4 linked regions of the Oryzias latipes genome follow. The protein of the gene in region 4 interacts with the protein of the main gene of each other region in a biochemical or structural test. Links are inferred from orthologs where the notes say so. Each region holds a gene or a part of one and is shown on either strand. Other genes may lie near its edges.

The links.
Region 1: the proteins of catenin delta-2 (region 4) and disks large homolog 4 interact in a test that uses a peptide from one of them, tested with the Homo sapiens proteins (2 studies listed by IntAct, with this or other methods). The link is inferred for Oryzias latipes from reciprocal best matches to the Homo sapiens genes CTNND2 and DLG4.
Region 2: the proteins of catenin delta-2 (region 4) and discs large homolog 1-like protein interact in a test that uses a peptide from one of them, tested with the Homo sapiens proteins (2 studies listed by IntAct, with this or other methods). The link is inferred for Oryzias latipes from reciprocal best matches to the Homo sapiens genes CTNND2 and DLG1.
Region 3: the proteins of catenin delta-2 (region 4) and pdzd2 form a complex in vitro, tested with the Homo sapiens proteins (2 studies listed by BioGRID and IntAct, with this or other methods). The link is inferred for Oryzias latipes from reciprocal best matches to the Homo sapiens genes CTNND2 and PDZD2.

Annotation. Positions count from the first base shown.
Region 1 is NC_019872.2:14,408,464-14,415,815, reverse strand, and holds part of disks large homolog 4, read right to left. Parts: intron 6,987-7,352; coding exon 6,872-6,986; intron 6,285-6,871; coding exon 6,108-6,284; intron 6,018-6,107; coding exon 5,975-6,017; intron 5,900-5,974; coding exon 5,869-5,899; intron 4,539-5,868; coding exon 4,488-4,538; intron 4,371-4,487; coding exon 4,269-4,370; intron 4,099-4,268; coding exon 3,926-4,098; intron 2,926-3,925; coding exon 2,813-2,925; intron 2,696-2,812; coding exon 2,604-2,695; intron 1-2,603. UniProt on the Homo sapiens protein: Postsynaptic scaffolding protein that plays a critical role in synaptogenesis and synaptic plasticity by providing a platform for the postsynaptic clustering of crucial synaptic proteins.
Region 2 is NC_019875.2:12,818,735-12,826,086, reverse strand, and holds part of discs large homolog 1-like protein, read right to left. Parts: intron 4,813-7,352; coding exon 4,717-4,812; intron 4,533-4,716; coding exon 4,479-4,532; intron 4,411-4,478; coding exon 4,360-4,410; intron 4,116-4,359; coding exon 3,991-4,115; intron 3,508-3,990; coding exon 3,338-3,507; intron 3,113-3,337; coding exon 2,976-3,112; intron 2,907-2,975; coding exon 2,762-2,906; intron 118-2,761; coding exon 1-117. UniProt on the Homo sapiens protein: Essential multidomain scaffolding protein required for normal development. Recruits channels, receptors and signaling molecules to discrete plasma membrane domains in polarized cells.
Region 3 is NC_019867.2:30,195,102-30,202,453, reverse strand, and holds the end of pdzd2 (PDZ domain-containing protein 2), read right to left. Parts: coding exon 7,328-7,352; intron 6,949-7,327; coding exon 6,847-6,948; intron 5,675-6,846; coding exon 5,461-5,674; intron 5,131-5,460; coding exon 5,008-5,130; intron 2,618-5,007; coding exon 2,355-2,617; 3' UTR 2,257-2,354; downstream 1-2,256.
Region 4 is NC_019875.2:19,377,083-19,385,128, forward strand, and holds the start of catenin delta-2, read left to right. Parts: upstream 1-2,702; 5' UTR 2,703-3,034; intron 3,035-8,046. UniProt on the Homo sapiens protein: Has a critical role in neuronal development, particularly in the formation and/or maintenance of dendritic spines and synapses. Involved in the regulation of Wnt signaling.

The sequences.
Region 1 (7,352 bases), on a different chromosome or scaffold from region 4:
TGTTTTTTACATATAGTTGTGGTATTATTCTCATGATGGAGGACATATAAAAAGAAAATTATGCTTCAAATTGCAGTTAGAAAAAGCCTATAAATGTGTTGCAGAAGCTACTACGGCAAGCCACAAGCTCCCTGCTGATGCATCCACTTGTAGATAACTAGATCCATGTACAAGCATACAGTTTTAAAACCAGATGTCAGCTTGGGCGAGGAAAGCGAAGACAAGGCTTAATTTTCTATATGTTCATGTCCTCCATCATCAGAAAAATGCCACAAGAACATGCTAAAACACCAAAAACACAGTTTTCCTCAGAGTTGGTCTTTAACCTGCATGCTCTTTAGAAATTGGTTCATCAGATGTTGGAATTTCTTTTTTCCAAGTGGAATATCAAGTTCCCAAAGGTAACAATAGGGGGAAAATTTCATTAAAATGTTTTATTTTTAATAATGGTCCAATAAATACAGTATGTGTTGTTGTTGTTTTCAATTATGACTAACCACTGTTCTTGGCAATAATTTAAAAGAAAATTTAATCAAATGTGATGCCATTTTGACATCTGACTCCATTGACAATAACATTTCATTCTTCCATTCACTAAATGTAAATTAATTTTTACTACTGTAGCCAACATGTGGCTCTAAAGAATTGCCATTTCTGAGATTATTAATACATATACAGTACAACATTAAAACGATACTATACAACAGCTCATTAAATGTAATCCTAACTTCTTATGTTGATTTTGCACAATATATTAACCCTGAAACATGCATACTGACATGTATATACAGTGAATTCCTAAATTTTTTTTTAGGAGTGATTACAGTATTAACATTTCTACATTATCCTGGACAACCCTTTAGCAAAGCAGAGAAGGTAAGAGGTTGAAAATTAGGCCTCAGTCTAGTAATCAATAATAATACGGCTGAGTCCCAATACGTTCTTCCTCCTCTCAGTCAGCCCAAAGATGTGGATTTGTAAGTTTATGTGCAGAAGAGTTACTGGCGGTTCATTCTTGATGAGAAAGTAAGACATTCTGTCCTGCACATACAGCTGTGGGAACAAAACATTTTTTTTCTGGCCAGGACATTTTATTCTCCTTAAAAAAAACTCTCATAAGTCCTCATAGGGGCCTCCCACTGATAAGTGCACACGCCACATGGATTTCTGCATTGTGCCAACAACAGCAGCTGTTAGGAAGAAATGACAGAAATGTTTTTTTTTCATTCAGTTGACTAAAAATGGAGCAAATTTAGTTTCTAAAACATTTGATTATTTGTTACTATAGGAACTGGATATGGATTACCTTCTTCAGGCCTTCTCTGGCATCAGCTAAACCAAAATGCCAATTTTCTGTCTTGTCTGCAAGACAAACTGTCTTGCTTCTTACAGACAATAAAAGCAGCCTTTAAAGTGTCCAAATTCTCGTATAGAGAGAAGGATAGTGTGATGTGCCAGGGCCATATTCTCCTTGAAATGTGAAAAGCAATTTAAATTCAGTGTTAGGAATGTTTTTCCTGAGTTACCATTTAGATTAGACTGACTATGGCAGAATGTAAGTACAGAAACTGACTTTTGTTTTCTGTACAAACATTTTGTGTTACATCACCTTGACACATCAATAAAAATTGCACTGGAGGTACTTTATGGTGCTTTTTGCTTCTTTTCGTCACCTGTGCTATGATACCTTACAAGATACGATGGTGTATTGCATGGCTAGATCACATGACGATCACAATATTCTACTTGTTCTTTTCTGTTCGAACTTTTACTGTTACGACTCTCACTGTTTTACTTTTACTACGCTGTGTTTTTAAAGCTCTTCATAATTTTGCCCAAGTTTACTTAACTCAGCTTTTAACTGTCATTCTAGAGTTTTAAAGTCTGCCAGCCAATATTTGCTTCATGTGCCCATTGTCATGACAGAAACACTGCTGGCCCTCAGTTATGGTAAAACATTCCTGCAGAACTGTCTATAATATCAGACCTTAACAGTTTTAAATGTCAACTAATATGTACCTTTTTAGAATGGCTTTTAGAGCTCAGTAGTCGGTGACATTTTCTTTTCTTGTATTCATTCTATTATATTCTTATTTGTACATTCTTACTTTCATGCATTCATTAGCTAATTGCTTTTGTAATATGAAGGTGTTTTTAATTTTTTTTGTTCATTTGTCTAATTTTAAACTTTGTTTTATTGCGAAGCACTTTGGTACCCTGAAGCAGTTGTAAAGTTCTATATAAATAAAGCTTCATTCGTTCAATAACATTGCATGAACATGTATTGAGATGTGGGATACCATGGAAACAAGCAGCCACAATGTTCTAGATTTTGTTAACTTTTGCTACATTATTTTAAATATACATTTTTAAATGAGTTAGACAACATTGCAAATTGGTAATCATTTTGGGGACATTTATACATTTCTTTTTGTGTCAAAAAATCCCCCTATAACAGAACACTTAGCAATGGTAAAAGGTGACCATAAAAAGTCATATCCTAGAGATGTTTAAAAGTCTACATAAAGATTAAAATGTGAAACTTTGACTGTGCAAATACCAGAGCACTGATTAGTTTTGCATCAAACGCTGTCTGATCTCACCTGTGAAACACTCCAGGAAGTCTTGTTCTAGTTTAAGAGCTCGATCCATTCCTTTCCTGGCCTGCTCTTCTGTCAGACGAGTGTTGATTTCTCTGTTGACATCACACACATTCCTTTAATTTGTACTCTCCTTATTTTTCAATTTAGAGTAAACACATAATTTCTCAATCAAACATTTAAAATTTATTATTTAGCATTCTAGTACGTACAGAACATTCTCCAGGGATTTGGGTCGGACAAAGATGGCAATAGGATGCAGCTGAGCTGCTTGTAGTCTGCGGACAGCATTGGCAGAGACATCAAGGATGCAGTGTTTCCCTTGCTGCATGTGCAAATATAGAAGGACAGAAGAGAAAGCAAATTTCATTAAAGGAAAAAGAAAAAGTAACAGAAACAAGGCGTAACACAAAAAAGATAATTGGAGTACAATAGGATACTTTTACGGCTAGTTAAAACTAAGTTTTTATTGATATCAACCAAATGTATTTATATAGTACTTTTTATAACTAGTACCACAAAGTGCTGCACACACAAATACTTACATAAAAATGAATTAAAAATGGATTCACACCTCACTTTACCTATGGAGGCAAACATTGGGCATCAGATTTTACTTAAATTAGTCTTTACTTTGCAAGTCAATGTTGATTCAGGCAATTGATTTCAGTGTCATTTATTGTATTTTTGTAGGCAATCAATTGCTTTTAGTTACCTTTTTGATGTAAGGATTTATATTTTTCTAGAAAGAGTTCCACTTTTTGACCCGCTTTTTTAGTTAACTTTAGTGGATGGTTTGTTTTTCCGTATTTTGTGCAGGCAGCCTGTAGCTCCTGCCAGAGGTTCTGCCCACTCACAGCTGCTTGCATTTGGTTAATTTTATATTTTGTATTTGAGGTTCCCCTTCCTTTGTGTGTTTGGTTGTTCTCCATGTTACTTTGCTCTAGTGTTATCCACCACTCTGTGTTAATTTAATGTCCTAGTTTCTGGGTCTCCTTTGTTTGTTTTGATTTTTTAAAATTTAATTTGTCCTTCAATTGACTCAACTGTCAAATGGAGTATTTTGCTGCACTTGGGTCTCCACCTGTTTGCCCACTGTAACAGATTTCTTCAGTTTGTGTTACTAGTTATGTGTAACGTTTTTCTTAACCAAATAGAGTTGGTTTTGAATGATTAAAAAAAAATTTGATAATGAATAAAATTGGTCTTTCAAATTGATTTAGTATTTTAGTATGTGGTATCCAACCAAACACTGTATGTGTTTTGAAGCAGTTATCCATAACTCATACAGATAGTTTTGAATCAACAAATAAGTTAATAGGCACCTGTTCTGCCACCTCTCGGACGCTCTGAACGCTGGTGCCATACAAGTGACTGTTGTACTGGCCAGCCTCTATGAATCTATGGCTTTGGATATCTTTCTCCATCTGTTCCCGTGACGACACAAAATGGTAATCTCTTCCATCCACTTCATAGTCCCTCTTAGGCCTCGTAGTGTCTGTCAAACACAGTAAAAAAAACAGAATGGTACATTTTATATATGCTATAGCAAATGTCAAAAATAAAGCTATTGCTTTTCTGCAGACATCTTGCTCAAGCTGCAGCAGACATGTCATTTAAAAAGTGAGAAACAGGTCAGTCTCCGTGAGTGACAGCACAATTACTCACGAGGGACGCAGGATCCAAACTTATCAGGGAACTCAGACAACAGGTCGTCATTTATCCTGTCCTTCACCGGACCCAGAATGATAATGGGCCTCGCATAATGTACTTATCACGAGGGAAAAGAACAAAAAGAGAGCAGGATTAGACACAAAAGAGGAATCATAACAGAGATTTTATTTGATGCTGAAATGGAGTTTCAAACATTTCACTCCACAGCCTTACCTTCCACTTGAGTGACCGTCTCATAACTTTGTGACATTTTCTTATCTCTCCCTGTTGGCGGAATATAATTGAATTTAGTTTCAGGTTTAAAGTAACTTTTGGGTTTTATATTTGCAAATTAGCATCTTCATAAATCTATGTGAACGTGGCTGTATTTGACTTATGCCAACTAAAAGCAAATCCATCCATTCAAGCTCTTATTCACAAGCACCCGTTTAGGTTGGGTTGACCCTCATGGGTGCTGTGGGTTGTCCGGGCCCGTAGAGGGTCCTAGTGGCTGCATCTTAAGGTCAGCACAGGTGTGTCTTTTAGTTCCCTTGTGGCTCATGCAGCCACCTTAAGGGGGATCATGAAAATGAAACATACGATTATCGAGCATGTGTTACCGTGAAATATTTGTAAGGATAATGTAAGTTACAAACACTCATGATGTCGTGCAGTGCCCTTCCGCAGCACTCCAGTCGTTAGTACGTTGCGAGTACTGCTTCCTTACTAACCTTGCTGCACGCACAGGGAGTGCAGGTGATGCAAAAGGACGCCCAGGAAAACTACGCTCTGATTGTCTAACAGCCAGGCTACGAACAACGGGCGCACACATATAACTTGAACATCACTAACGAGCCCCATGCAGAAAGCGTAGGGTTCAGGGAGGTTGAGAAAAAAGAAAAAATCCTACCATTGTGCCTGCGTCTGACCTACTTCAACCTTACTAACCTATAACCTGTAAGGGCATTTGTCAATAAGGCATTTCATATCTCTCCAGTTTAGAAAGAAAATAGACTGAATGAGAACATTTTAAACTTCTTAGTAGTTAAAAAAAATCTACAAAGTTTAACAGCAGAGAACATGGGCTTTCTCTAAATTTAATTAATTGATGTCTAAGTTATACATTTTTCTTTGTAAAGGAAAAGAAGTTTGCATGAAGTTTAGGGCTGAAAAGTGGTTCCACTCCCATCCATCCACCCATTTTCTTAACCTGCTTTAGCCCTTTTGGGGCCACGGGGTTGCCAGAACCTAACCAGGCTTCAGTTGGTAGAAAGTGGAGTACACCCTGGACAGGTCACCAGCCTGTTGTTGAACCACACAATCACACACGCATACATACTCAGAGTCACACCTAAGGACAATCTGGAGTAATCAATCAACCTATGAAGCATGTTTTTGGACAGTGGGAGGAAGCCGGAGTGCCTGGAGAAAACCCACACATGCACAAGGAGAACATGCAAATTGCACAGAGACAGGACCCGTTAGGATTTAAACCAGGGGCTTCCCACTGTGAGGTGAAGGCGCTAACCACTGCTCCACTCTGGTTCCACTCCCACTCTGACACTTTAATATGGTATATTCTAGCATATAGTGAGGTTTTGTTTCAATTCATCACCTTGAGTGCTCAAGCTGTCTCGACCATGATCCTGCAACAAAGAGAAGATGTCAGATTTACACACAGAAGGACAGATTGGAGCAAGAGTTTCAGAGAACAAACATACCCTCTCTTTGGTGTTTCCACGAGACCAGTCTTTCCTTTCCACTCTGCAAACAGGGATGAGGAGGAATAACAAAACAATCACAACAGAGATTTAAATGTAACTTTATTGAGATGGGATTTTTCAGGAGTTGTACCTGTGCTTGCTGGGAATGAAGCCGACCTCCTCTGCCTCGTTCTGGGGACTGACCCTGCGGGCTTGCCACCACTCTTCGTCCCCGCAGTCTAACACATGCAGCACGTCCCCAAACCGAAAACTAAGAGCTTGACTGAGGAAGCCACAGTCTGCAGTCTTGTCATAGTCAAAAAGAGCCCTAAAACATGGAAAAAAAAGGAACAATGTTTTTCATTTACAAGTATTCCTAACAGCAAATATGTTACACCTTAAGTGCTTCCAATGCCATATTGAATTCTAAACCACTTTAATACCATTTTTCTTTGCTGAAGAATATGAGAATTCCTGGCGCACCCTAAAGGGCCTTAAGTAAACCTACATATTGTCCTTAAAATTTTTTATTTGATCTAAGTTAGGGATGTGCAACTTCAGACCTCGAGGGCCTGTGTGTCTGCATGATTTCCAGATATACAAGCCCCACTCATGACTGATTACCTGGTTCAGATGTGTCCAGCCAATTAGAACATGCCAGAGCAGGGATTGTTGGAAAACATGCAGAAATGTGGCCCTCGAGGCCTGGAGTTGCCCATCTCTAATCTAAGTTGATACAATTCTTTCACATACATATATAAGGAATTTTATTTCTTTACATGACATTATTATAAGTTTTCAGTAAATAGAAACACAACCATTTTTGTCCAAAGGCAGTGGACTTCTCCCTGCAGAAGTAAGCTGCTGTATCGGAATGACTGTGTTTTGTGCTGTTTTCATTTTGCGGTGTGAGACCTGATATAGAAGCCTCTCTTTGGGTTACTCCTCAAAGTTGTTGTTCCAGAGCCCATGCTGCTGTTCATTAGCTGTTCCCTCAGGTCGTGGATTTTTGCCTCAAAGCGGCTGTACTCTGTAGCAGAGAAGACACAAACATTTTGAGACAGACAAGTTTTACATTTCACACTCTAAATGATCACTTGTTATGTGCGTTATCATATTGGTTAGAAAGGTTTTATTTATAAGATATTAAATCATTTTTTATTTCATAAAAGAAAGTATTACAGTCTTGATATGAAAACTAAAAAATGTTACTTAATTTCAACATGAATTTTATTTTAAAATCAGACTCTATGAGATGAAAAAAAATCCCTGCAACATAAACCGTCAGATATTGAAGCCAGGTTTTAGTGGAGTGTAAAAGACATGTTGGCACAGTTATTGACAGGAAACAGCTTTTTAAAATTCTCTCAATGTGCAAGCACATATGCAGAGTTTG
Region 2 (7,352 bases), about 6.6 Mb from region 4:
CGTCTGCTAGCGGGCTCATTGGTGTGGGCGAGTAGCATCCCGAGGATCCTCGTGGTTGAAGCTGGTGACTTACAAAATTGGGGGGGCTGATATGATTCTCCATGTGCTGTGAGTAAGCTGGAAGAGACAGAGCATTCGTGAACCAAAAACGTGTGCGCCAGTAGAAACACCCATTTGGATGAGATGGGAGCTGCAGAATAGGGGGTAAAGTGAACCTAGGAAACTGGAGACGGTCTGATCGGTTTACAGCAGACAGGTGAGCTCCAGCTGAAACACCAAAGGAATCCTCTGCAGTTTAAACTCCAAACAAACCTTTTTGTCTTATAGAATCACAATTCCAAGATTCAAAACCTTGCTTTTCATTTCAGTCAATTAAACAACAACATTTTGTATACCTTTTTGGATATGCATTTGATTGAAAAAAAAAAACTGGGGAAAGATGAAAAACAGATGAATAATGTAAAAACAGGTCAAACAAATAAGTAATAAACATAAATAAAGGGAAGTGCAACCAAAGGAAGAAACAAAAAGCTTTTTTTACTACTGTATGGAAAAAATCCTTTCGTAAAAATACTGAATACAAGGTTCACGTCACCAAGGGTCTATCTCGGGACCGAGCCTAGGGTTGGCCTTCCCCCGAGCTCACAAGGAAGGTCTACAAGGGGCTGGTGCCGCAACAACCCAATCCTCAAAAATGGACTAATCATCGGGACATGGCCTGTTACCTCCCTAAGTGGGAGGGACCCTTAGGTTGCAGAAGGGTGAGGGTCCTGGGTAAAGATAGTTGGGCATGCGCCTCTTCAAAGTTTGGACTCTAAAACCCAACCTTTTGAGAGGGCTAGACTCTCAGGAGAAGCAAGCAGTTCTCTGCCACTACCGTCTACAGTGTGGGTGAGGAGCTGTTGACCTTGAACAGGGAAATGCTGAGAGGTGGAAGAATCTCCTTAATTCTGTTGACATGATTTCATAAGAAAATAGTATCTGGGGAACCAGAAGTGGGCCAATCCGTCCCCCAAGCTGTAGTCAAATGGAGAGTGTCAAAAAGCACATCGGTTGCAAGGTACTGGAGACAGATGAGGTCCACCCTTACTACCTCAAGTCTCTGGATGTTTTGGGAGCGTCTTTGACGGCATTCCTTTAGGACATTGCCTGGAAGTTGGAGACCTCTGATCTAGCAGATCAGGGTGGTGGTCCCTCTTTCAAGAAGGGGAACCAGAGGTTGTCCTTCAACAAGAGGGAATCTCACTACTTAATCTCTTTACCCTCTCTTTTGAATCACACGCAGACCAAGTTACAAAGACTGCCTTTTATCACCTTAGAAATGTTGCCCAAGTGAGATCCTTTCTCTCTAAAGCCAGTGCTGAAATATTACTCCATCCCTTTATAACATCTAGGATAAATTATTGTAATGCTCTTCTTTCTGGTGTTAAGAGAAATACTTTCAATCGACTGCAGCTTGTTCAAAATTCGGCTGCATGCCTTTTAACTAGAACCAGAAAGAAGGAGCACATTACTCCAATTTTGAAGTCTTTGCACTGGCTCCCAGTCAGCTTTAGGATCGCTTTTAAGGTTCTTTTATTAGTTTATATAGGTTTACATGGACCTGGATCCTCATTTTTATCAGATTTACTTATAGTCTATGACCCTCCCAGAGCCCTCAGGTCCACACTAAAACCCACAGCGAGGCCTCCTTTCAGCACTGTGGGCCTCGCCTGTGGAACAGCCTGCCTGCCTTCAGCCACTGTGGAGGTTTTTAAGAAAAAACTTAAAACACATCTTTTTACTTGTCCACATGTTTTTACTTGATTTTATAAAACAACTAATTTGATTTGTTTTGATTTTAATGTTGGGATGTGTATGTGTTGGGTATTTGTGTGTTTTATTAATTCATATATTTTTTATTATTATTTGCATTATTAGCATGGCTTTTTTAAGTTAAAAACCCGATGTTATGTACATTCTGAGAGCAGGCAGCTACGCGATAACGTAGCACACCGGATGACCATCCAGGGGTAGTGTTGTCCGAATTTGAAGACACTATTTTTCCATAAACTTTCGCTTGAAGGGCTAAATGTAGGGGCAGAGAGAAGCCGTAGGGGTAGGGGAAGAATTCAAGAGGGTTGCCCTTAGTCACCACTAGGTGCCGGAGAGAATTTGACTCGGGAACTACAGGTTTTCATTTCTGCTTTTTGCAGATAATGTTGTTCTGTAGGGCATTTTGAACCAGAACCTTAAGTGTGCACTGAAATAGCTTACAGTTATCTTTTCATTGGCTAAAAGGAGAATGATCACCTCTATGGTGGAGACCATGGTTCTTGACCATGAAAACAGTTTTCTTCCCCTTTGAGTGAGTGGAGAGCTCTTCCCCCAAGTCAAGGAGTTCAAGTATACACACCCACACAGAACTGACACACCCTCAGGCAGACAGATGACACTCAAATTTATGCACAAACACACACACATAGCTGATTCTCTGTGGAACACTTATAAGTTAGAATTCCTAAGGTCCTGGAGAAAATCATGAAGAAGGAATGAGCAACATTCAGATGTGCTAGCCGCTGGTTGCTCTTATGAAGCAGGTCTGGCCAGAACATCGAGGTACTGTGGTACTCGACTAGAATCTACTGAAGTTGTAACAGCCAGACTGAGGAGCAGGTTAGCATTTTCTCCTTAGGGCTGCATCCAACAGAAACGGCAGGATTGTAACAACTTCCTGTGTGGAGACCATCAGCCATAATGAAACAAAAGTGATGTCACTCACAGTTAGTGAGGTCGGGCGGGGCAAAGCCATCATTCATGAAGACGGTGTTGGGCTTTGCCACTTTCAAGTAGACCACATCAGGTGTGTTCTTCAAGGCGGTGACAGCATGTTCGTGGCTCACCTCCTCCAGACAGGAGCTATTCACCTGCATAAACACACAGGCCTCAGACTGCAGCAGATTTGGCTGGATCATGCACAGTTTAGTCAGACTTACAGCCAGCAGCTTGTCTCCTATTTGCAGGCTGCCATCTTTGTGCGCAGCACCACCTTCAATTATCTTGGTGACATAGATGCTGTTGTCACCTGGGATGTGCTGGTTTCCTACTCCCCCTGCGATACTGAACCCCAGACCTGCACAGACCAGAATGCACGTGAACATAGACCTGTTGGGCCCCCCGAAGGGGCTGCCACACTAATCACCAGCTGCAGTTCTGTGGTACAACAAAGAGGCTGGACTTAGTTACATCCATGAGAAGTCCAACATAGACCATTCTAGATTCACAAAAACCCGAAATAATGCAGAAAACATTTCTGGAAAAGATCTGAGCCGGTTTTCGGTCATAGACTAACACTCACCTTTAGGTCCTTTCACTAGCTTGATCTCCATGACTTTCTCAGAGACAGGTTTCCTCCTGCGCACGTGGAGCCGAACCAGAGAGCCAGCCTCCTTCAGCGCCTCCACGGCCCGACTGTGGGTCACATCCCTCACATCCATGTCGTTGACCTTTAAGATGACGTCGTTTACCCTAAAACAAGAGAAGGAGCACAGTGTTAACTGGGGGTGGGGTTCTGAGACCTTCACTTAGTCCACCAAATTCAAACTAAACACAGATGGTCCTGGATGAAATGATATAGAGCACCTGGAGCCCCAAGTGAGGTTTTTCATATCAGGGATGAACATCTGCAAACCCTAAACCCGGCAACACATGGGCCTTTGAACTGGGTGAAATCTGTACCAAACAAAATCTAAACCAGGCAACATCTGAGCTACATAACATCTGAATCTGGCAACACTAAAGCCAGGAAACTCCTAAATCATACAACATTTTATCCAGGTAACATCTAAACATCTACATATTTTATGCTTCTCATCACGTTTATCCGCCTATGCCTCGTCTATTATTGTGAAACACTTTAAGGACAGTTGTCTGTTATACAAACTGCCACCAACGCTGAGAGAAACACACCTGTCTGCTAATATGCATGAGTTAGTCTATGTGTCATCTCACCTAAGCCGCCCATCCTGAGCAGCAGCCCCTCCAGGTATGACTTTGGTGATGAAGATGCTGGGATCCTCACCGATATGGGGGTTGTCCGTGCCACCAGCGATACTGAAGCCCAACCCGGAGTTTCCCTGGCAGCAGGAAGAGACATGCATGCTCATCAGTGTCACAGGTAGTGTGCTCAGGTCTGTTTGTGAACACAGAGGCTTCACCAGAACATCTTTTAGGAATGAGGGAGAAGTAACCCAATACCTCATGCTGGAAAACCATTCCAACAACAGATGGTATTCAAAATGATCGTTATTTCAGTCTGCTCTGACCCTTAAAGATGAGTGGGAGGGGTGTTTCCTGAATGACTGCAGCTGGTGGTCTTACCCTCTCTAGCGTGATTTCCTCATACTCGTACTCTGCCTCGGCCCCGTTCACCTGCACACAGACACGCAGTCAGAAGAGTTTGTGCTACACAGAAGACCAGCAGACGGGTTCAAACTCACGTAAGGAGGCGTGTCCAAGCTGTCCGTGTTCACCACCACAGGAGGGGGGTTAGCCTGAGGGAAGAAGCACCACAAAAGGAAACATCACACCCTGTCAGAATATACCTCAACATCCACCCACTGTGGCAAACGTCAGCCTGCTGAGCAGTAGATGATGGATGGATGATGTATGGATTGATTTATGGATGGAGCACAGAAACAAAAATAAGTGAATGAAATGGGAAAAAAGAAAAAAAACCTGTGAGGATGGAGGGATGACGGTGGTCTCGACTGAGATTGGCGTGATGGGGATCACAGGAATGATGGGAGGGGAGGGTGGGGTGGCTTGTGCCTGCTGGAGAAGTTGGAGATTAGACAGACAGCATGGAGGAAGAAGACAAAATTAGTTTTAAAAGTTTGGTTAGAGCTCACAGAGGTGAGTGGAGTCTGACCGAGCCGCCAATTACAGGAGGAGGTCATGTGAATGACAGACAGTGAGGATAACCCCCATCTGCTGCTCTGAGCTTTATTGCCCATCTACCTGACCTCGGCACATGTGCGGGGAACATCCCTTTCCTCAGGGAGTGGATGTTCTTTCCATCATTATGGGATGCAGCTGAGACATGAAAGGGGACAAGTGGAGGTAAGATGAAACACAACCAGCTTGTGTTTGATTTCAGCTGTTCTTCTCTGCCACCATCTGAACTTGAACTTAGTTTAAACTAAAATCAGGGCAAAGTTTGAAGTAAAACATACCTAGGCTTAAACCACAAGGACTGTTTTAAACTAATGGCGATGTCCTGTTCACATACATCACCAGGGAGGGGCATCCTGCCCATCGATCCACACAGGCTAGGTGTGCTCACGTTTGTCCATGAATACCTATCCAAAACGAGTTGACACCACTGTAACTTCAACTAAAGGAGCAGGTTTTGAGCCAACTCCAGGACTCTGAAGGCTTCATCCGTTCCCCAGGTTCAGCGCTCGTTTCCAGCAGGCCCCGAAGCTGCCCATGGAAAAGCAGCAGCAGCTATAATTAGTTGAACACATTGAGCACATTGATCAGTCAGCCCCACTTCTGCAGCAGCGCTCAGATTATACTGCCGGGGGGGGGGGGGGGGGCGGCGGCAAATAACCCCACCGCCAGCATCAGTTGTCAACTCCATCTATTTAGACGATTCCATGAAAAACAAGCCCAGATCACACTGATCTTGATCCTGCACAAAGTTATCTTTCTAAATCCACCCTTCATGTTCCCATTTCTTTATGAGATCATCTAGCCAACTACAGCTCCCTGTACAAGAGGAGAACTCAGCATCATACTCCCACCCCCGTGTTTCACTTCGGGAACTCTTCTTTAGGGATGAATACCCTGACTTCTATTTATAGAACAAAGCAGGAAAAATAAAGGATGAAGTCCAAAAGAACCTGTGGAACTTACAGAGAAAACTCAATTAAGGGGTTTCACAAAAATCTCCAAAAAATAGAAAAGCTCCTTTTAAAGAAGCTCTTTAAATTCAAAACCACACCCCCTTTCTTGAAGTTCAGACTGCACCACACATAACACTTGTACTTCTCCAAACCTGCAGATCTTGGTTAGATCTGGACACGCACACAGAGAGCGTAACTGCTAAACGGAGCATTCTGACAGTTTGTGAGTTTCTTTAAGAGAGGCCGGTGCACAGCTGGCCCCTGGCCACACAGCTGGAGTACCTGACCGAAGCTGAATGGTATCCAGGAAACCTCCTTTCTACGAGCCGCTTGCCCCATCACCACCTTGGCCGTGCTCTTGGTGGGGCTTTTCTTAACGCTGTCCCGCAGGGTGAGAAAGCGACTGCGTGCTCTTAAGGAGGCAGGCATGGTGCAAGGGGGCAGAGACGGCTGCACGGGGGGGCGGCTCTGATGCTGCTGCTGCTGCTGCTGCTGCTGCTGCTGGTGTAGCTCGATGGCATGCTGACGCTGGAGTGGGTGAAGGTGGGCCAGGGTCTCCTTCAGGCTGGAACTGACCTGCGGGGGCTTTTTACCCAAGTCCTTTGTCGTACTGAGCCCCTGCCGAGCGGGGTGTGTTGTCATGCTGAAGGGGATGTCCTGCCTAGAAAAAGACGAGGCTGAATAATGGATGAAGGCGGCTCCTTCAGGCAAGCAGCGGTGTGCGATCTCTGCGCTCATCCCCCTTTGCTCCTGCAGCTCTGTCCCTCTCATGTCATCACACCGGGGGGTGCAGCTCAGCGTGCTGCATGAATAATCAATGCAGCCTCCACGCTCACCACACAGAAGACCTGTGTGCATGTCAGCAGCAGGGGACAGCATCCGCCCACACGGACCCAATCGTCGCTGCCCCCACTTTAGTTCCAATGAGCAAGACATACCTGTCCAGCAGAGGGCTGTACGGTCAGCATTTAGCAGGAGGGGTGGCACTCCACGGAGGATTAAGGGTGTCCTGCATGGCCTTCGTGGAAACAGTTTGTCTGTGACGTTTCTTATTGATCTAAACTCAGTGAGCGCTGCCAAGTCCCACTTAACCTTTTCAAAAATACACTAGGTTTATGTGGCCATTAAGGCCATTCATTCATAACATTTAACTTTTAAACATTCACAATAATTGAATTATAAATTGTTATATTTGTCTATAAATGAAAACTTTCACTTCTTTACTTTTGGCAGCAGCAAATACAAGCTCCTTCCAAATAAAAAACACCCTGTGTCAATAAAGCTCTACCTGAAGAACACAGAAATGCAAAAAGGCCAAGTAAAACACTGCATTTCCTATCATTATGACAACAACTAGATGCTTTTTTGCACCAAAGATTACAATATGTACATAACTAATTTAATATTTATTCTTATTTCTTTTTTAGCATTTTTCTTAAATGGAAGGAAAAAAAGAGCTGCAAG
Region 3 (7,352 bases), on a different chromosome or scaffold from region 4:
TCGGACACGCATGAGCTCTGCCAGACTGCAGCCCCCACAGTGGGGGGGGGGTCTGGGCCCTGCTGATTCTCAGACCCTTTCTTTTTAATCAGCTTACAGTTTGATGAGAGGGTGCCCAGACCCCCCCCCCCCCCATTCCAAGGCACGTATCAGAGCAAATGACTGCAGAAAACATCATTTTGTTTCTTCTCTATGGTTTAGTCAGGATTAAGGACCCCTAATAGAAGCGCTCAGAGCAGAAACCTTTGGCTTTGCTGCCTCCTGCTGGTCACTCTCAGTTCCGGCGTCAACAACGCCATCTCAGTGATGTTTTGAAGGTGGATCTAATGAGCTTCTGTGTGAGGCAATCTGTCATTCATGGCTGCAGAGTTCTGTTTTAACTCCACACCTGCTGATGTGCCCCTGAGCAAGACGCAAACCCCCCCAAGCTCAGAGGCTTTCATCAGTGCAACCAATCAGATGTTCAGCCTTTCCTTAGGTAAACCAGCAAAACACTTCAGCGCCCTGAATGATTCATAAAAACGGATCAAAAGCAAAAGGGGAAGAATGAACCCTTTAAAAGGGATTGTGCAAAAATAAGAACGACCAAAGCCGAATCGTTTTGTCTAGATCACTTCAGTCAAGCTCTGAATCACTACACAGTCAGAATTATTGTATCGTCTGGATCCTTTTAGCGAAAGTCTACACAATTTACTCCCAAAATCTGGATAATCTCAGTGAAAGTCTGGATTATTTTAGTAAAGGTCTGGATTATTCCAATAAAGGTCTGGATCGTTTCAGTCTATATTATTCTTAAATCTGGACCATTGCAGCTAAAACCTGGATTATATCAATGAAGGTCTGGATTGATTCAGTCTATATTATTCTAAAATCTAGATCTGAAGTCTGGATTATTTTAGTAAAGCTCAGAATTACTCCAATCAAGGTCTGGATTGATTCAGTCAAGAGTTTTCTAAAACCTAGATTATAAATATCAGTGAAAGTTCAGATTTTTTAAAGTAAAAGTCTGGATTATTTTAGTGTAAATCTGGATTTACACGGGTCCGACGGACGGCTGGTCGTATAGCTGCAGACCCCGCCCACCCGGGACATCAACTGTTTGTACCGCTTCCCTCTGGAAAGAGATACAGGAGCATCAGAACCCAACCGAGTAAACTGAGAAACAGCTTCTTCCCTAGAGCTGTGAGATCCCCCCCCCCCCCCCCCCCGCCACACACAGTCTTAACATAGGCATCTGATCCCCTGTCACCACACAGTTGACAGTTGACTATGCTCTGGTTGCACTTTTAATCATGTATGCAATACTCATTCCATGTGTACAATGTTCATCTTTTTCTTACTGTACAGTCTTCTGTATTATTTATGTTTAATATTAATTAGAAAAGAGCTGCTGGGAAAATGTCATTGTGCACTGCATGATGACAATAAAAGATTCTGATTCTGATCATTTCAAAGTCTAGATTACTCTTAAATCTGGACTAATGCAATTGAAGCCTGAATTATATCAGTGAAAGTCTGGATTGTTTCAAAGTTTATATTAATCTGAAAACTTGATTATTGTAGCTAAAGCCTGGATTACTTGAGCAGAGGTTGTACTTCCTGCGACAAGAAGTTCAACCTGCCTCAGGAGCTGCTGACCATCTTCTACACGGCAATAATCCAGTCTGTCGTGACCGCATCCATCACGGTCTGGTTTGGTTCAGCTTCCAGACACGACAGGAACAGACTACAGAGAATCATCAGATCCGCTGAGAGGATTATTGGTTCCAGCCTTCCCTCCATTCAGGACCTGTACCGATCCAGAGCCTGGAAGCGGGCTCTGGATCGTAAAAGACCCCTCTCATCCTGGACACTGCCTTTTCAGCCTCCTCCCATCAGGACGGCGCTTTAGGACACTGCGAACCAAAACCACTCACCACAAAGACAGCTTCTTCCCCCGAGCTGTCACTCTGATGAACTCCTGACTCCGGACTGCTCAGGGACACTGTACAACCACAAACTGGAACTACTGCTGCTGCATTTTTTGGACTTTTTTAATTTAATCCATTCCTTTATTTAGTTATGTTTATTTATTCATACAGCTACCTTACATCTACCTTCTTTTTATCATTTATCTTTTTATTATTTATCCTTTCACCTTGCTAGTTTGCACGAAAGCACAAGTAACCGAAGACAAATTCCCTGTACATGCGCTCGCTTGGCAAATAAAGTGATTCTGATTCTTCAGTGACAGTCTGGATTACTTCAGTCAGCTGCTGCATGTTTTCTCAGAAGTCGTTTATTTAAAAAAAAAAGTCCTTTGTGTGTACATGCTTGTCACACAGACCTGTCAGGCAGGATCCACACAGCACAGTTCAACATAAGTCCTTTATCAGAAGGTGCAGAGCCCCCCCCTCTGCTGCTGGCTCATGTCGTGTTGTGGGGGGGGCTTTACAGAGGATCCTCTGAGCAGGGGCGTCTTTCATGGGTCTGCGGAGGAGAAGCTGGCTGAGACCTTCGTCTGCGTTTTTGATGATCTTCCAGGCGTCGTGGTGCATGAGCCCCTCCAGAGAGCAGCCGTTGATGGACAGAACCTCATCCCCCACGGAAATGAGCCCAGACTGCTCTGCAGCGCCCCCTGAGGTGGAGGAATGCAACGGTTCAGAGTCACAAAGGAATTTTGTTGGGGAGTAAATCACACACGTGTTGTAACGTCCCGGTCAACAGCTGAATGGACGAAGCTCCTCCTACTAACACGGCCGTGTGGGAGAGTTTTCCACACCAAACAGCTGAAACAACCAGTCATGTTTAGCATGTTGAAGCGTCAGCGTTCTGTAGCTTTGGGTTTGTAATGCCGTCTGTGTGTGATGACAGAGACGCTGAGGTCAGCCTTGTTTACGAGGTCAAAATAATCCCAAAAACCATATGGAAAGGAAAGCCAAGGTGGGAGAATGTTGTGAGAATGTTTGACAGCGTTTCCTCGTTTAAGCATTCAAGATTTAGACCATGTGAATGCTTGTGTGTGTAGATGTGTGCGAGTGGAATTGTATGGGAAGTGAGGGAATGAATGTGTCACTAGCTGTGTTTCCATGACACGTATGCCCAAAACGTTATCGACATTCTAGAAATGTCAAAAAACACAATTTTGCAATGACACTGTTTCCGTTAAATCCTGATTATGCAAATAAACCCAAACCAACACACACGATAAGTCACTTTGATTGACAGCAGATACATTCACATTTCTGCCACGGCACTAGCGCCCAAAGTAGATGTCGGCGTCTTATTCAGGCCGTGGAGCGGTGAGCTCCTCACACGTAGGAGGGCCTACAGATGAAGCCATGTTGGGAAATGGTGGTCGGTGATTTTCCAGAGGAGCTGTGGATCCAACAACTCCACATGACACATGACACGCCTAACAAAGGTGACCTGAGTGTGCACGTGTTAACATCTCTGTAAACATTTGTGTAACTGTGTCACTGTTTGAGTGTGAATGTTATTGTGTAACGTATTGCTTGGTGTATAAGTCATACATAGTTTGGCTGGGGGTGCAACTTATACTCAGGTGCGACTTATATGTGATTTTTAAAAATAAATTGCCACAACCACTAGAGGGCAACACAGAGATTAAGGGATTTCAAGTGATATACCGACCAAGGGAGCCGGTTTAGCTCGTGCTGGTTTGCGGCGCCTTCCGTCCGTGAAACCAGGGTTTGACTCCGGGCTGCTCCCTGTTCCTTTCTCTACCCCTGTGCCAGTTCCAAGCCCGGCTTGAGAAGGTTGCGTCAGGAAGGGCATCCGGCGTAAAACATTGCCAAATTTACCATGCGACTTGTTCGCTGTGGCGACCCCTGATGGGAGAAGCCGAAAGAGGAAGAAGTGATATACCGACGAGGCACAGGATCTCAATTAGATGCCTGGTATACATCTACTGTAGATGTCTACAGGACTTCTCTGACATCCCTATTTTGTTACTATATTAGTTGTCTACCAATGGCGTTCTGCATATAGAGGTCTCCTACACATCTATCTGAAGACCTCTAATCTTGGGATGGCAGTTAGTTTCAGAAAACTTTCGGTAGACATCTAATAGAGTAACAAAATAGAGTTGTCTAAGATGTCCAGTAGACCTCTACAATAGATGTCTATTAGTTATCTAATAGACGTCTAGTCTAAAGATATCAAATGATTAGATGTCTACAGATAGATGTTTAGGAGACCTCTATATGCAGATTTCATGTAGAACACTAAACACTATTGGTACACAACTAGAGTAACAAAATAGAGATGTTCTGTAGACATCTACAGTAGATGTATATCAGGTCTCTAATAGAGATCCTGTGCCTGGTGGGTATATCACTTGAAATCCCTAAATCTGTCAAATTTAGGGATTTCATATATTTTGTAACTCTATTTTGTTACTCTAATCTAATAGAGTAACAAAATAGAGTTGCCTAAGACGTCCAGTAGACATCTACAATAAATGCCTGTTAGAAAACTCATAGACATCCAGTGTCCGGTGGGCAGAAACTACCCAAATGGCTTGTTTACAACGCGCAAGGCTTGATGGCACAACAACGCAATTAACTGTAGGAAAGTTGTTTGCTAGAGATCTAAACCCCAATATGCAATAGACCTCTATGAATAAATGTCTATCAGATGCATAATGCATATCTACAGCTGTAAGCTTTGAATTAGTCATGGTTTAGATATCTAATAGATGTGTCCATGCCCAGTGGGTAAAGAGTTAATCTAGTTTTATCTGAATAACTGTTCATATGTTGCACTTATACACTAGATTCCTGTTTCCAAGCGTCAATGGTTTACTGCATATACTCAGTCTATTAATGCTATTTATTTCATTAATATCTTTTTTCCCCCTGAAATTTCTCCCAAAAGTACAGTGTGATTTTTCTTATTTATGCATTTGGACTTATAGTCTGAAAAAGACGGTATGTGTGAGGTTCTGATGTGTAAATGTTTGAGAGTGTTTAAAGTTCAGCCTGAACTCAACAGACCGGCGGTCACCTGGAAAGATGCGTTTGATGGTGAGGGGCCTGTCCCCCTGGCAGGAAGACTTGCCCCCCTCCAGACTGAAGCCCAGGCCGGCACTGCTCTTCTGAAGCTCCACGGTAAACGCACCGTCGGCTCCTGTGAGACAAAAGGCTTAATGTCAGCTCGCTGGACTGAACAGGACTAACGAGACGCAGGAATAAAAAACACAAAATAAGATATCATCTAAGTGGAAAAATGGCAAAAAGCTGTGGTTATGATTAAGTCATAACTTTTTGGTGTAGGTGTACACCGACAGGCCTTCATTTGCCCATCTGTGATTGTCATTCTGTCATTCTAGTGTAACTCTACTGATATTATAGTCTCATTCTACTGTCAATTGGAAGAAGATCTCCCAAATGAGACTGGTTGTAATTTTCTAAATTTTTATGCACAACCCGGGTTAGACTTAAGCAGCAGCACACTTACGGTCCGGCCAGATCACGGTGTGGCGAGCCGGCTCCACGTTGTTCCTCCAAATAACGACCACAGCTTGGCTGGACGGTTTGGCTTGATGAAGGCACGACACCGCCTCCCGATGGGTTTTCCCCTCCAGACTTGTTCCATTGATGGACAATACGCTGTCGCCTCTTTGGATCGAGCCCTCCAGGCTGGCTGCCCCCTTGGAGAAGACCCTGTGAACCTGGACACACAGCACATCTAAAGGCCGCGTCACACTGCCGCTACCTACATTTTTGCCCAGAGGAAAATTGAACACGTGAACATACGGGGAATAAAATGAGAAAAGTTGAGGTCTTTACATGAACCGTTCACAGATCTATCATAAATGAACCGCGTCAAAACCACGGAAGAAGTTTGAATAAAACATGCAGAGAACACATAAATCCGCGCTTTGTTGAATTTCTTTACTTTGACATTCAGAGCATTGAACAGAAATCACATCTCGCCAGCACCATGGTCAGCCCCCGCCGTGGGCCCTCGCCATGCTGTGTTTTAAGTCAACAGTCAGATTCTCCTGGTCCGCACCAGTTCTAAGTCGGCCGCTGAGATCGGGGACCTCCAGCAGGAGCATCAGCCGGGGAGATCAGTGAGAAGGGCCAAGCAAGCGTCCACAGTCGCATCGGCGCCCGCTGTACTCGGCCACCTCCCTTGCGGCGTTGGAGACCCCATGAGAGACCCCCACTCGGTATAGACTGCTGGAGGGGTGAAAGTTCGGACGATTTATATACCTGTCACACAAAATGCCAATCGTGCAAGAACCGTGTGTGATTATTGCTCTGTTTCTATGCAATTTGTTAGTGTTTTGAATGTCAATTACGCATTTTAACCGTGATATGTGCACCACCGTATGCATGATGTAAAGGTTACCCATCAATGGTACATGACTGAAAAGTCCGTTACATTTCCGTGGATCGGTCATGCAAAGACACAAATTAGCATCTCGCAAAATCAAGCACAATTGTGTGAGATTTACATAATAATTGTGCATAAACTACGTAAAACAGGGATAATCGGCGTAATTGTCATCCGACCACAAATTTTGAACAGCTCAAAACTAAAGTCACGTGATCGGCTGAAACCCTCGACGGACATCTGCACACATCGACCAATGATCGCAAGAAACACTTGAGAATTATGTATATCACAGACGTATGATGAAAGACCGAAATTACACACGTGGACAATGCACAGATTGTACATAAAGCCTGTGTGACACGGCCTTTACATTCTGTAGAAGCATCATCTCCACATTTTCAGCTTTTTCTTGTCTCTTTTTAAAGCCAGAAATGTTAAGGTGCATTTCTCAGCTTTCGGTTTGAATGTTCTGGAACATCAACCACAGTTTTTACTCACAATGACTTTCTTTTGCTCCAGGTCGGCGCCACCGGCAATACTGAACCCGAGTCCGGAGCCTTCGCCTTTGTTGAGGACGACAAGCAGCGAGCCGCGGTCAGCCTGCAGAGTTTAGCGACCACAGTGGGAAGAAAAGTCAAGGCAGCGTGACGGAGACCATGTGTCCATGGAAATGCTTTGTAACATCCAATTCTCTGCTTGCAGCCAAAAATAATCCTGTAAATGTTTCAGCACATTTAAAAACGATTGTTGTACTTCTGAACAATTCAGATGAAGTTTATTACAGAAAAAACTCTGAATAATAATTTGAAGAAAAAGACAAAATAAAATGGAAAGACACGTCTCTGATTCCATCATCACTGCCAAATGTCACCCGATGGTGGCGCCACTAACAAAGATGAAAAATCCATTTTGACCCGATTTCTGTGTTTTAAATGTCACTTCAGATGATCATGAACCGGGCAGAACCTCAGACCTTTACCTGGGCTAGGCTCTGGTGCAGCGGG
Region 4 (8,046 bases):
TGTCAGCTTGTATTACTGACACAGTTGGTATTTTTATTCTGCAGTGGGTTTACAGGGATGCAGCCGTCTGTCCAGAGCCGCAACAGGAAAGGAAATGAAAGGAGCCAGCTAGAAAGATCCTCGTAAAAGTTGACCCAATACTTCTAAAGTGTTGATTTAGGCTGGATGAGCCCCGGACCAAAATGTGCTGTAAGGCTTCGCTGCTTGGTTTCCAGGAGTTTTAAACCCATCAGTTTCCTCTTTCATGGCAGTTGGAAACAAACACTTGCTGTGAGTCATAATTTATCAGCAACAGGTCCAATTAACTAAATCTGGTTCAAAAACCTCATTAAATGTTGGGGATGGTGCTCCCAAGATTGATAGCTCCCTTTCTTTTTCCACCAACAAAATAATTCTTTGCGTTCAACCAAACCCAACTTCAAAATAAAATTAATCAACTCAAACATCAAGTATATTTTAAATCCTGGTTCTTTTAAATGTTACAAAAGAAGCATAAAAATAATAATACAATTTATTTTTACAAAAAGGATTTTTACACTTTTTGGTTAAAAAAAACAAAAAAGCTCTTATTTAATCTTGAGATGTAAAATCAAAATTAATAACTAGTTTTGTGCAAAATCATTCTGAAGGCGATTGTAGAAAACCACTAATTCCACTAGATGTCAGTGGAACCAACTGGGTTTGTTTCTTAGACACATATTGGACAGACACATTATAGTTGAATGAAACTCTTTGATGGGTGGTGTGTTTGTGTTTGAATCGTCATCAGCTGATGGCTGTCCCATTAGGGCAGTGTTTATCAATTATTTTTTGCCAGCCCCCCCCCTAGGAAAAAGAAAATGTTTCGCGCCCTCACTGTCACAAGAACACCCTGGACCTTGTTTTAACCCATGGTATAGAGATTGGCCAGCTCAGTGTCCTTACTCATAACCCCATCATTTTTGATCACTTTCTGTTTACCTTCCAGTTTACATTAGAACATGCTACTGCCCCAGTGAATAAGAAACAGCTTAGAAGAACCTTATCTGACCGTTCTGTGTCTGAGTTTAAACTCACAGTTCAGCCAGTACTTAGTAGCAGTCTGAGCAAATACTCTGAGTCCAGCTCCCATAGCATCAGTCCTAGTAGAAATGACCTGTTTGTTAATGATGCCTTACAAGCCTTCAAGAGTATACTCGATGTTGTTGCCCCCCTGAAACCTAAGTTCGTTAGACAAAACCGAGGAGCACCGTGGTTTAACGCTGAAACACGTTCTCTTAAACAAGTTGGAAAGAGAATGGCGCCGCTCCGGTTCAGAGCAGTCTGAATACCTGGAAACATAGCCTATTAAATTACAAAAAAGCTCTGCGTAGAGCTAGAACTCTGTACTATTCAACCTTAATAACGGAGAATGGAAATAATCCAAGATTTCTTTTTAGTACTATTGCTAAATTAACTCGCAGTCAGAGCTCAGTTCTGTTTGTATCAGCTCTGATGATTTTCTTACATTTTCTTACATTACCTTTCTTACATACACTGTCACCAATGCCCCCCCGTTAAATTTGCGCCCCGGACAATTGCCCGTATAACCTGTGCCTAAAACCGCCAATACCGCGCGCCCCCCCTGGCATCGCGTGCCCTACTATTTGAGAAGCACTGAGCTACTAGTAAATATGGATATAACTATTATATCCATATTTATGATTATATGTTACCTTTGGCATTCTTAAGAACATGTTTTAATGAAATATGAGTTCAAAGTTCATTTCCAACCCAGAAGTAAGACGACTGGATCTCTGAGGCTCCGCCTTTCCCTCCGTGTGGGTGCCGCCCATTTCATGACGTAAACCTAGAGTCGGCCTCAGCAGCGTCTCTGCATTTCTCCCACGACAACAAACAACATCCAAACTTTTTCTAAGGAGGATGTGCATAATATGAATGTAAAAGCAAAGTGTTTTCAGCCGATCACTGCTAGCTTAGTGGATAAATTGTCGATGTGTGTTTCTGTTAGCCTGGGGGGCGGTGCTGGCAGTGCAGACTCTTCCTGGAAGGGTCTGTTCTTCACTTTGTGACATCACAATGTGAGAACCACCTCATTTTTGTGGATTGGGAGGGGCTGGTGCTCAGAGCACAGGTTTTTAGAGGAATACTCAGCATGAACAGATCAAAATACCAATAATAGTGAAGAATTAACATTATAATACTACTTAAAAGCTCTAAAAACTGATATAGGCCCTTTAAGAGGTTACATATCATCTGCAGTAACCTAAATTACATAAACAACAGTGTTTGTGCTTCTCTGAATCCACAGCTGAGACTCATTTGAATCTCTTTTGTCCCTTTTTGTTTCACTAAAGCGATTCATATCTGGAATTACACCATAAATCAGAAAAAAGGATTTGCAACCAGCACCTCCCCGACTCAATTTTCTGTGTTGTTCCTGCATTCAGCAGATCATTTGGGCCTTTTTTACGGTTAAACCTGCCTGTGACTAATGACTGCCGCTTGAAGGCACCACCAACAAAGTAGGATCCACCCCACATCCAACATGCGTCTCTATTCCAGCTGTTGAGGCTGGGAGACACTAATCCCCCCGCCCCCCCGGCCCGCACATAACTGTACTTCTCATCGCCAATAGGTGTCGCTGCTGGCACTGGCACCCACGCCGTCTGTCAGTCTGTCTGGCAGGGATGGGGGGATGTTTTATTGTGAACTACAGAGGAAGGGAGGGAGTGAAAGCACCTCTGCCGCTCTCCTTGCGTCCTCTCCCGTGCGCAGTTGCGCAGTGCTCCGGCCCGGTCGCTCCATCCCTCCTCATCACAGCTGTTTCTCCCGCCTTGGATGCTGGCGGTTCCCCCTCCCGCAAAGAAAAATAAAAAATAAAAACGGAGGGGGAGCTGGAGCTGACACTTCATTGGAGCTGGTTACCTATTTCGCATGGTCTGAATTTCGGGAAATTCGCACGTCGGAAAGGCGGAAAGGAGGGGAGTCCAAAGGGGAAGAAAGGAGGCTCTCCAACCCCCCCCCAGAGGAATTTATTTTACAGTAAGGCAATGTCAGTTCACTTCTTTGCCTCACTGTCTGTGCACATAGATGCTGCTGTGAGAGACAACCTGCTGGGATTGCTGTTTTTTGGATCAAGGCTGGGCCATGCCAAATGTTCCATTCCAGTTTAGGTGTGGTGTGTGTTTGTGCTGATGCGCCGTGGTACGCATACATTGATCGTGAACTAATGATGGACTCCCCCCATGCATCCTTACTGCACCCCCCCCCCCCCATTTCGATCCATCCATCCGTCTATCCATCCATCCAACCATCCATCTATCCACGGCCGGGGTGTGAAAGTAAACGCTGCAGCTCTGACTGGGTGCTTTTTTTTCTTCTGATTGACCCAAATTGAAGCGATATTTGTAAGATCATCACGTGTGTGACAGCGGCTGAGCACGCGCCTCGCCGTGCGCCTTTGTGCCGCCTTTTGCAGAGCGACGCACGCACGGCGTCAAATGTGGTTCCCCCCCGGCCACCGCCAAGGTTTGCGCGCGGATGGAGAGCACCTTGCACAAACTCTGGCCTGTCTGCTTCCTCCTGATTTCTGCGTGTCTGATCAGTGTTTTCCCCCTGGACTAATTATTCCCCTTCATTCTTTTGGTAAAAATTCTATTTCAGCAGAGATGATAAAAAATAATTTATTCTATTAATTGTAAAATTAGGCTCCGGGTGGGGGGGCTTTATTTTGGCTGAAATGGCCCTGACCTATTCAACCATATGTCTGCAAAACATATTTTTCGAATTCAGCCTCCAACCGCTGTTCATCAGAGGTTAGAGTAAGAGCTTTAATGTGATGGACATTAGGGAGGTTGGTGGGATTGGTTGGGGGAGAAGATAATCAGTGGGGCAGATTATACCGGACAGTGAAAGGTCTTAATAAGTTGCCTCTTTTACACATGACTTAGATCTGGGTGGAAATTGTGGCAAATGTGCCGATCCATTAGTGTGATTTCCTGTACAGAAGCATCTGAGAGCATCACAGCTTAACCCTAAAACTCTCCATCACGCCTGTCACACAGTTCCAAGTCTTCCTTTAAGCAGGCAGTACTATGATAGTAGTTGTATATAATAATGTCCTATTTGATTTTATTTATTGGAGTATTATTCAAAAATAAACAGACATGCAGTTTTTCCTCAGACTGTGATGTAAATTTTAAGCAGTGTCTTTTTGCAACAAACAGTAGTGCTGCTTCTCATTGACTTAAGGCGGTATCAAGAATTGGTTTAATTGTTTCTCTTTTGTAACAAATGTTGAGAAAACACAAAGTGGGTTTATCTGTGTGTACTGTAAAGCCCTTAAAGTCCCACACCTATCCTCTTTTGATCTTTTGTAAAAGTGTTCCCTGTGGTCTTTTAATTATGATTATGCCATTTTTAGCCAAAACTCAATTAACCTGTTTGTTCTGTTCTTGGACATAGTTTCTGCAGAGTGGCAGAAGTTTTTTAGAAATTCACCTGATTTGTGGGATGGTCTGTTGTCGTGGAGATGCCGCGCCTCCACTTTCCATCATCCATTTGTTTACACACTCTCCCACTAGCTTACAGCCCCTCATAACCCCAACCCAACATTACAGGTGCAACAAAAATGGCGTGCAATATCAGCGCTGTCCAGGCATATGTACAGTTTTGAGTCAGGTGCCAGCTTAGATGAGGAAAATGAATACATGCATGGATCTAGTTGTTTATAGCAGAGCAGGGCACCTGTTTGCCCGGAAATAGTCGCACCCTCATCACAACTACAAGCTTTTTCGAATGGAATTTTTTCACCCCTACTCAACAATTTGGATGAAGAAATACTCAGAAATGCAATTTTACTTTTAAATTTCCTCATTTGTACTCTGTCATCAGAAAAATGCCACAAAAACATGTTAAAAACACCATTTTAATCAGAGTAGGCCTTTAAAACTTATAATATAATAAACTTATAAATAGGAGGAGACGGCATTGTTCGTTTAGAAAATAAGAAAAAAAAATGTATAAAATCTGAATTTATGACAGATATTAGTTACCTGTTATAACACTAAAACCAGAAACAAAGTCTGGAGAGAAATAACAAAGGACAAAAAGTAAAATTGGGATTCTTAGCTTTTGTAGCTTCATTGAAATATCAATGTGGAATATTATTTATTGTATATTATGCCACATTTTCTGTGTTCTTCCTTGTATTGTGGTCCCCCCATACAAATCAAGCTTATGTTATGATCTGTTTTATCTGCACTAGTTTTTAACATTTGCTTCATTATGTCATTGCATTAAATTTGTTTATAAATAAGCCTTCAAATAACAAATTTGAATGGAATTAAGCTAACCTACATGTAACTTGATGTAGCCTTTCCACGCAAGCTAAACTTTAGATTGTCTGTATTTGAGGGAAGAAATCTTCTGATAATCATCCACCAACATTCTCAGCACCTTAAAGTTTTGCTTGTGGGTCAGGATTGCAAAATTGGTGTCATTGCATCGTGTGACAGCTTCATTGCAGTAGCCATCACGCCACATTTTTGCAGCCTTTGTTTTCCTGCTTTTCTCATCTGGATGAATGTTTAAAGCTGTCACAATACTTCTATTTACCTCTGTGTCATCTTTAAAGCAGAGGTAAAACTAACCCTGTTATTTAATAAGTAAACTAATGGGAAACATTTACAAAAATGGTACATTCCTGGGAAAAATACTTTTTAAAAATTGTGTTTAAAACAAGTCTACTGTCTCATTTCTTTATATTAATAAACTACTGTTTTAGAATGCTGTGAAATGCACACAGTATAAAGTAAAACATATTACGAATTAAATTAAAAAGAACAATTACATTTTTAGTTTAAATTAAATGTAAAAATAGTTATTTAGCTTGAATTTTTTGGCCTCCAAACAAAAGCCGTTTTTTACCTCTGGTCTTAGGGACAACAATATATCTGATTCAAAAGCAGACAAAATGGGGCTTTGTCTATTGTTCTTTGTCATCAGGCTTATCTTCTGGTAATATGGAAAAATCTATTTTCCGTATCACTATCGTTCACATTGATGTCTCAAGTGTGTCTGTGTACACTCTACAAATAGTATCAATGACGACTCATGCTAGTGCTAGCACTCGTGCACATTTACCTTATTTACGCACTATAGCACGCCCCAACAATGAATGGTCTATCTTTAAACTTGTCATATTAAGGTGAACCGAACTATGAGGGGCATTATGCGTGACAAAAAGTCTGAGAGAAGTCTGTTAGTTAGTCAGACTTTATGAAATGCATTCACATTAACTCCAGAACTTTTTTGTAACATGCTACACATTAGCCATGGTAGAGGCGTTAGCGTATTCACAATTCTTGTATCTCCCAAACTTACTATGCTTATTTCTAATGTTTCTAGTAATTCGTAAAAAACTGTCTGACACCGCCAAAACAAATTTTACTTTAACTACGCTAATTTCCAGCGTTGCTAGTAACATATTAAAAGCTGTCTGACACTGGCAAAACAAACGTTACTTTAACTGCGCTAATTTCCAGGGTTGTTAGTAACACATAAAAAACTGTCTGACACCGCTAAAACAAACGTTACTTTAACTACGCTAATTTCCAGCGTTGCTAGTAACATATTAAAAACTGTCTGACACTGCCAAAACAAACGTTACTCTAACTACGCTAATTTTGTGGGCCCTCTTTTTTCCCCGGGGTTCCCCCCTCCTGGGCGGGGGCGGCGGGCCCCTGCCTTGCTCCTCCCTGGACCAACCGTGGGCCAGGCGGATGGCTGCCTGGAGTGCGGAGCGGGTCTCCCTTTGGGGGTCTTGGCTCGTATCTGGGGTTGGGGCGGGGGGATGCCTGGAACTCCTGGGTGGTGGTGGGGTGCTCGTTTGGGGCTGTGGGCGTCCTTATCCGGTGGGGCCCTGCGTTGGGTTCTCCCGGTGCGGCGGGGGGGCTGCTCTCCTGGTTGGGCTGGGGCGGCGCTCTCTTTTCCTCCGTGCCTCCCTGGCCTCTGGCTCTGGGGGCCTTGCGGCGGCCCTGCTGGCCCTGGCCTGGGTGGCGGGCTTGGTCGCCCGGGCGGCGGTTGTTCCCTGCCGGTTCCCGTGTGGCGTTGGGGGGATTCCGGCTGCCGCTGCTGCTGCGGTGGGGGACTTGGGGTGGGGATGGCTGGGCACTCTCCCTCCTTCTTTTCACGTTCCACCACCCATTTTAGAAGAACATAAACACTCACCTGAGCACTGGTGTTAGCTCACCTTTGCACTAACAGTTTGCATGACTGAATGACTGAAATATTTCACACTAGTTGGTTTTAAGGCATAAGTATGCGTGTGAACACTATCTGTTTTGTGTACATGTCGACAGGTGGACATTTTTGCAGCTAGTAAGTGTGTTTAATACATTTCAGTGTGTGTGTGGACAGGCTCCGCCCCTTTTTTGTTTTGTTTGTTTTTTTGGTTTTTACTACATTTGAACCTTACCATAATGATTAACAACCAGTAAACTTGTTGCTTTATGCTGCTTCATGGTCTTATCCCCCTTCCCCTCCTATTACCACCCCCTACCCCCCCTCTCTCTAATGTCCCTCTCTCTTCTTCCCCTCTTTCCTTTTCCGTCCGGTCCAACACCAAAGATTTTCAGACATGATTGAAATTAATAAAGTTTGGCCTCAATTACAAAAGGGGTTTATTCAGACATACCTTTGGTTTGTCTGAAGATTAATAACCCCTCTTGTTAAAGTAAAATATGTCCAACACAAGAGGCCCTCAGCTCTCATCTGTCTGCCCAGCTGTTGGACAGGACAAGTTAGAAAAAAAAAAAAATAACTACGCTAATTTCCAGTGTTGCTAGTAACACGTTAAAAACTGTCTGACACTGTTAAAACAAACGTTACTTTAACAACGCTAATTTCCAGCGTTGCTAGTAACACATAAAAAACTGTCGGACACTGCTAAAACAAACATTACTTTAACTGAGCTAATTTCCAATGTTGCTAGTAACACATAAAAAAACTGTCTGACACTGTTAAAACAAACGTTACTTTAACTACGCTAATTTCCAGCGTTGC